Saccharomyces cerevisiae S288C: one gene and its partner. The protein of the gene in region 1 interacts with the protein of each later gene in a biochemical or structural test. Each region holds a gene or a part of one and is shown in the gene's direction. Other genes may lie near its edges.

Region 1 (3,922 bases):
TAAAAGATACTGGTATATATTAAGAGTAATATCACGTATATATATATATATATATATATTTATTCGAAATAAAGAGCAGAACAATTCAAGTGTTCAATTAGTATGAATGGCTATTAACATTATCGTTTCTTTCTTTTTTTATGATTTAGTCCAAAATATCACTATTCAAATCTCGCGGAGAGAAAGGGTTCGAAAATTTTGTTTTATAATATCATGATTTTGATACGAACATAAATATATATAGAAGTAAAAGAGAAAGTGTTCAGAATAATATTCACGTCAATGAATGGATATCAAAGAAAATGAATGGTTCGAAGGAACAAAAAAATCACATAAGCAATAGACCAACCGCACAACTTAATATGGACCCATTTGGAATATAGAAGCGTGCAAAGGATGTTATAAACTTTGATAAAAGCATGGAATCTTAGCCCATCTACAGATGCCAGACTGGGCGCAACAAACTTTTTTTCAGCAGTAGGCTTCTTCGCCACGGTATGACCATCGCATAACTTTCTTGCCTTGATCGGATCATCCGTGATAGCACCATGGATAGGCAATTCGCACAGATATTTGAAATCTATAGGTTTGTTGACAGTCCATAAATAGACCTTGATATCATTCTTCATAAGCACAGGTAGTAATCTCAATCTAAATTGGCTTGTCCACGAGGAGACAAAATGGACGCTGATACCAAAAAGTTTATAGTGAGGATCATTCAGTGTCAAAGAGCGCTTCACAAATTGCGAGGCGATATCTAAAGACAGACTTATCACAATAACTTTGAAATCCTTCAGAACACCAGTTTCAATACCGAAATCGTACCAATCCAGCAACCAAAGCCCCCACGTGATCCTCTCCTGCCAAAATTTAAGATCATTCTTAACCTCTAACATGATAACAAAGGTCTTGATCATGATGATTTTCTCGTTGGTAAATTTGATGTCCAACATCAATTTAGCTCCTGGATGGCACACTGCCCATGTTAGAATTTCCTTCAATGTCATCATTGCTAAGGAACCATCCTCTTTGCAGCGCAATCGCTTAACCTCCTCCCAAGTCGACTCGCCAATCACCAAGTTCTTATCCCACATCCGACCAGTGTCTGAGTCATGGTTTACCACCACCATACCATCGCTGGTCATTTGTAAATCCGTTTCTATTACATCAGCACCTGCTGCATAAGCCTTCTCAAATGCTAGTAGCGTATTTTCAGGATATCTTGCTTTAAAAGCTCTGTGGCCCACAATTTCAACCATCCTCGTGTCCTTGTTGTTATCTTACACTTCTTATTTATCAATAACACTAGTAACATCAACAACACCAATTTTATATCTCCCTTAATTGTATACTAAAAGATCTAAACCAATTCGGTATTGTCCTCGATACGGCATGCGTATAAAGAGATATAATTAAAAGAGGTTATAGTCACGTGATGCAGATTACCCGCAACAGTACCACAAAATGGATACCATCTAATTGCTATAAAAGGCTCCTATATACGAATAACTACCACTGGATCGACGATTATTTCGTGGCAATCATATACCACTGTGAAGAGTTACTGCAACTCTCGCTTTGTTTCAACGCTTCTTCCCGTCTGTGTATTTACTACTAATAGGCAGCCCACGTTTGAATTTCTTTTTTTCTGGAGAATTTTTGGTGCAACGAGGAAAAGGAGACGAAGAAAAAAAGTTGAAACACGACCACATATATGGAACGTGGTTGAAATACAAAGAGAAGAAAGGTTCGACACTCGAGGAAAGCATTTGGTGGTGAAAACACATCTTAGTAGCATCTTTAAACCTCTGTTGGGTACTTAGAAAAATATTTCCAGACTTCAAGGATAAAAAAAGTCGAAAAGTTACGACATATTCGACCAAAAAAAAAAACCAAAAAGAAAAGATATATTTATAGAAAGGATACATTAAAAAGAGATGGACTTAAGAGTAGGAAGGAAATTTCGTATTGGCAGGAAGATTGGGAGTGGTTCCTTTGGTGACATTTACCACGGCACGAACTTAATTAGTGGTGAAGAAGTAGCCATCAAGCTGGAATCGATCAGGTCCAGACATCCTCAATTGGACTATGAGTCCCGCGTCTACAGATACTTAAGCGGTGGTGTGGGAATCCCGTTCATCAGATGGTTTGGCAGAGAGGGTGAATATAATGCTATGGTCATCGATCTTCTAGGCCCATCTTTGGAAGATTTATTCAACTACTGTCACAGAAGGTTCTCCTTTAAGACGGTTATCATGCTGGCTTTGCAAATGTTTTGCCGTATTCAGTATATACATGGAAGGTCGTTCATTCATAGAGATATCAAACCAGACAACTTTTTAATGGGGGTAGGACGCCGTGGTAGCACCGTTCATGTTATTGATTTCGGTCTATCAAAGAAATACCGAGATTTCAACACACATCGTCATATTCCTTACAGGGAGAACAAGTCCTTGACAGGTACAGCTCGTTATGCAAGTGTCAATACGCATCTTGGAATAGAGCAAAGTAGAAGAGATGACTTAGAATCACTAGGTTATGTCTTGATCTATTTTTGTAAGGGTTCTTTGCCATGGCAGGGTTTGAAAGCAACCACCAAGAAACAAAAGTATGATCGTATCATGGAAAAGAAATTAAACGTTAGCGTGGAAACTCTATGTTCAGGTTTACCATTAGAGTTTCAAGAATATATGGCTTACTGTAAGAATTTGAAATTCGATGAGAAGCCAGATTATTTGTTCTTGGCAAGGCTGTTTAAAGATCTGAGTATTAAACTAGAGTATCACAACGACCACTTGTTCGATTGGACAATGTTGCGTTACACAAAGGCGATGGTGGAGAAGCAAAGGGACCTCCTCATCGAAAAAGGTGATTTGAACGCAAATAGCAATGCAGCAAGTGCAAGTAACAGCACAGACAACAAGTCTGAAACTTTCAACAAGATTAAACTGTTAGCCATGAAGAAATTCCCCACCCATTTCCACTATTACAAGAATGAAGACAAACATAATCCTTCACCAGAAGAGATCAAACAACAAACTATCTTGAATAATAATGCAGCCTCTTCTTTACCAGAGGAATTATTGAACGCACTAGATAAAGGTATGGAAAACTTGAGACAACAGCAGCCGCAGCAGCAGGTCCAAAGTTCGCAGCCACAACCACAGCCCCAACAGCTACAGCAGCAACCAAATGGCCAAAGACCAAATTATTATCCTGAACCGTTACTACAGCAGCAACAAAGAGATTCTCAGGAGCAACAGCAGCAAGTTCCGATGGCTACAACCAGGGCTACTCAGTATCCCCCACAAATAAACAGCAATAATTTTAATACTAATCAAGCATCTGTACCTCCACAAATGAGATCTAATCCACAACAGCCGCCTCAAGATAAACCAGCTGGCCAGTCAATTTGGTTGTAAGCAACATATATTGCTCAAAACGCACAAAAATAAACATATGTATATATAGACATACACACACACATATATATATATATATTATTATTATTATTTACATATACGTACACACAATTCCATATCGAGTTAATATATACAATTCTGGCCTTCTTACCTAAAAAGATGATAGCTAAAAGAACCACTTTTTTTATGCATTTTTTTCTTCGGGAAGGAAATTAAGGGGGAGCGGAGCACCTCTTGGCCAATTTGTTTTTTTTTTATGTAATAAAGGGCTAACGATCGAAGATCAATCACGAATATTGGACGGTTTTAAAGGAGGGCCTCTGAGAAGACAGCATCAATTCGTATTTTCGATAATTAACTTGCCTTATAGTGTCTGATTAGGAAACAATCACGAGACGATAACGACGGAATACCAAGGAAGTTTGTGCAAATATACAGCCGGCACAAACAGCAGCTTCACTCAGGTTAACTCACATACTGTTGAAAATTGTCGGTATGGA
Region 2 (3,462 bases), on another chromosome or scaffold:
AAGGAATTTGATCTGCCGTTAAATTCTCTTTCTGCAACTGTAATTAAATTGGTGAAGGAGGATATGGGTGGCAAAATGACATGGCTTGAGCTGTTGGATGACAGCGGTGTTGGAGAAAGGCTATGAGGGAAATAGCATTTGGAATTATGTGCCAAGGCTGTATTGTCTGTAGGCGAACTCGTGATAGACTGGCATGCAGAGGAGTTATAAGAAGAGTATGATGTAGTTAATGGGGGAGGTGGAGGAGAATTCAGTGTAGAACTGAGGGTAGAGCGCGAAGACGACGTAGTACTGGACAACAATGGCAGTGATGGATCTATCAAATGGTGAATGGTGCCATTGGGAGAAGCCGTTGGGTTTGGCATTTTTTCTGGAGTATCTATAAAGGGAGGGTTTCTCCGTAAAGACATCGTCTCATGGGACATTACTGAGTCAATGCTTGATGCAAAAGATGATGATACCAGCATAGGGGAAGCCAAAGAAAAGAAGTAACAAATATTCCAAGCGCTCCAGTGTTACAGCTACTGCAAACCAAGAAAAGCAACTGACAAGAATTAGATATCCTAATCATAGGGCACCGAATTTACTTCCATGTTTTTTCCAGCTCCACTTAGAATATATATATAAATGTATAAAGACGGAAATATGCGCTTTTGAGAAATAGACAGAATAAAGAACGCACTGATGCAGCTTTAACTTTTAAGAAATGGTGCTTTTTTTTTCGCCCTCTGTTCCTCTGCGGATGGGAGCTATCAGTAGTAGAAAACAAAAGGAAACGAAGAAAAAAAATTGGAAAAGGGAAGAGTAAAACAGCGAGGAGAGCATTACGTACATAAAATAGGTTTAAGTAACCATACCACTAACAATGCCCCTAGGAAGTGACAATCTAGAGATATCCTTGAGAGTTAGCCACGGGCCGTAAGGGAAGGAAAAGACCAATCTAGCAATAAGCGCATGGGGGGTTTCCGACAGCCACTACCAAATTGTGTGGCAGCCAAGCGAGAATCAATGCGGCTATTTGAGATCTGTTCTTTTTCTATTCAAAGACTCGAATGAGGCCAACGAAAGAAGTAGTAAAAAAAATCCGGGATTCCCAATTCAGGTCATATCCGGCAAGACATTCCCGGATTTTATTTTCCTCAATGTGCTCGTGTAAGTGTCGGCCCGGAACTTGATTCCCCCCGGACTAATTAGAAGTTCCGAGAACGCGCGCAAGCCGTCCCGCGCGTAGAAGGCTAAAAAGCAGCCGGAGGAAAAAAAATAACGCAAATGTGGGCTCCCCTTCCCCTGTGCGGCCACGTCGTGCCTCCCCACCATTTGCCTCATATGCGGCCATTGCGTGTGGTGTTTTTTCTGCTCTTGTCACTGATTTTAACTACCGCGGGGTTTGACTAACAAGCAAATTGCAAAGCCGCGGCGGTTCCCGGAAAAAAAAAAAGGAAGGCCACGCTATTGGTAACCATGAAGTGTAAGGCGACGCAGGAGAGATGAAAAGAATGAAATTAAAAGAAATCCAAAAAAAAAAAAAAAAAAAAAAAAGAAAAAGAAAGAAAAAGGGGGAATAACACAGCCGCGGGTAACATGAAGCGGCGCGAGCGATACTTCCGTGTTAAGTGATATCCATCTTTCTGCGGGTAATAAGTCTAGTCAAGTCCGCTGTATTTTTTCTTTCGCTCTCGCTCTCTTTCTCTCTTCGCTCATGGAGCGGTAAAAAAAAAACATGCATATCGAGTCGAAGCCCAGCAAAATTAAAAAAAATATAGCCTTCAGTGGAAACCCAGTGATGCTCGCACACAACGTAATGGAGCATTGAAGAGCTACAGACGGTAGATAAAAAAGAAAAAGAAGCAATACAATAGGTTATTGCATACTATCATAAGCATACAGATAAAGGAGTTCTGCACATACGGTCCCTCTTTCTCTTCCTATTATTCTTCAGTCCCCTCCTCGCTCTTTTTAGATTCGACATTACAAGGTGAAATACTATTGAAGCTCAAAAACATCCATAATAAAAGGAACAATAACAATGGTATCTAGAGGCCCCGACGAATGGCTTGAAACAATAAAGAAATGCCAGGCGCTAACTGAAAACGAGATGAAACAACTGTGTGAAATGGTGAAAGAACTTTTGATGGAGGAAAGTAACATCCAGCCGGTACAGACCCCCGTTACTGTATGTGGAGACATACACGGCCAATTTCATGACTTGTTAGAGCTATTCCGTACGGCGGGTGGCTTTCCTGACGATATAAACTACATTTTTCTCGGTGATTACGTGGATCGTGGCTACTATAGTCTGGAAACTTTTACGCTTTTAATGTGTCTGAAAGTCAAGTACCCGGCAAAGATAACTTTGGTCAGAGGAAACCATGAGTCCAGACAAATTACTCAAGTTTACGGGTTCTACGAGGAATGCCTGAATAAGTACGGATCTACCACCGTATGGAAGTATTGCTGTCAAGTTTTTGATTTCCTGACGCTGGCCGCTATAATTGACGGTAAGATCTTATGTGTCCATGGAGGGTTATCTCCCGAGATTAGAATGCTCGATCAAATCAGAGTCTTGTCAAGAGCTCAAGAAGTGCCACACGAGGGTGGGTTCTCGGACCTGCTTTGGTCAGACCCTGACAATGTAGAGGCTTGGCAAGTTTCCCCTCGTGGTGCAGGATGGCTCTTTGGCAGTAAAGTTGCTAGAGAGTTTAACCACGTTAATGGACTGAACCTTATTGCCCGGGCTCACCAACTGGTTATGGAGGGGTTCAAGTACCATTTTCCTGAAAAGGACGTTGTAACCGTGTGGTCCGCGCCAAATTACTGTTATAGATGTGGTAATGTCGCGAGTGTAATGAAGGTCGATGAGGATCTGGAACCTACTTTCAAAATTTTCTCGGCTGTTCCCGATGACTACATAAGAGAATCCACGGCAAACCATAATAATCAAAGAGCCGGCTATTTCTTATAACACGACGGCATGCCCTCCCTAACTCGACGAATAAAAATAATTTTCACAATAAAAAAAAGACTACAAAAATCAGAAACTTTTTCATTACGCCATTTGCTACGATACGATACACAACAAGCACATTCTAAGAGCATTCCATTTACTATGGTCAAAATGACCAAATAAAAAATTAAAAAAAAAAAGAAGGAATGAGAACTAGTAACTACATATTCAACAATTGCAGTTTTCTTTTCCTTTTTGTCCTTGTCCTTTCTTTCCTATTTATATATATATATATATATATATATAATACTACTATGTTATATTACATTATATTATTATCACAATAATTATTACGTTCATCGTGCCGAAACGTCACCTCCCACGGTTTGGATCTATTGAAAGAGGGTGGAATCCCTGATAATAAAAAAACTTTAATCAACACTCGGGAGGGGAAATATAAAAGACTGGCGCTACTTAAAGAGCTGATTCGCCAAGGCAGAAAAGCATAACCATATTAA

Evidence for each region. Proteins that work in one complex are often made in the same cells at the same time.
Region 2: the proteins of HRR25 (region 1) and SIT4 form a complex in vitro, tested with the Saccharomyces cerevisiae proteins (2 studies listed by BioGRID).

What each region holds. Positions count from the first base shown.
Region 1 is NC_001148.4:162,339-166,260, forward strand, and holds HRR25 (serine/threonine protein kinase HRR25), read left to right. Parts: upstream 1-1,937; coding exon 1,938-3,422; downstream 3,423-3,922. Other genes in the region: TYW1 (putative tRNA 4-demethylwyosine synthase), read left to right, coding at 1-3; PGC1 (phosphatidylglycerol phospholipase), read right to left, coding at 294-1,259; cAMP-dependent protein kinase catalytic subunit TPK2, read left to right, coding at 3,918-3,922. UniProt on the Saccharomyces cerevisiae protein: Protein kinase which phosphorylates serine and threonine residues. Can use casein as a substrate. Phosphorylates elongator complex member ELP1/IKI3 on 'Ser-1198' and 'Ser-1202' which promotes the tRNA modification function of the complex.
Region 2 is NC_001136.10:367,745-371,206, forward strand, and holds SIT4 (type 2A-related serine/threonine-protein phosphatase SIT4), read left to right. Parts: upstream 1-2,026; coding exon 2,027-2,962; downstream 2,963-3,462. Other genes in the region: STP4 (Stp4p), read right to left, coding at 1-467. UniProt on the Saccharomyces cerevisiae protein: Involved in the dephosphorylation of the large subunit of RNA polymerase II. Is required in late G1 for normal G1 cyclin expression, bud initiation and expression of certain genes that are periodically expressed during late G1.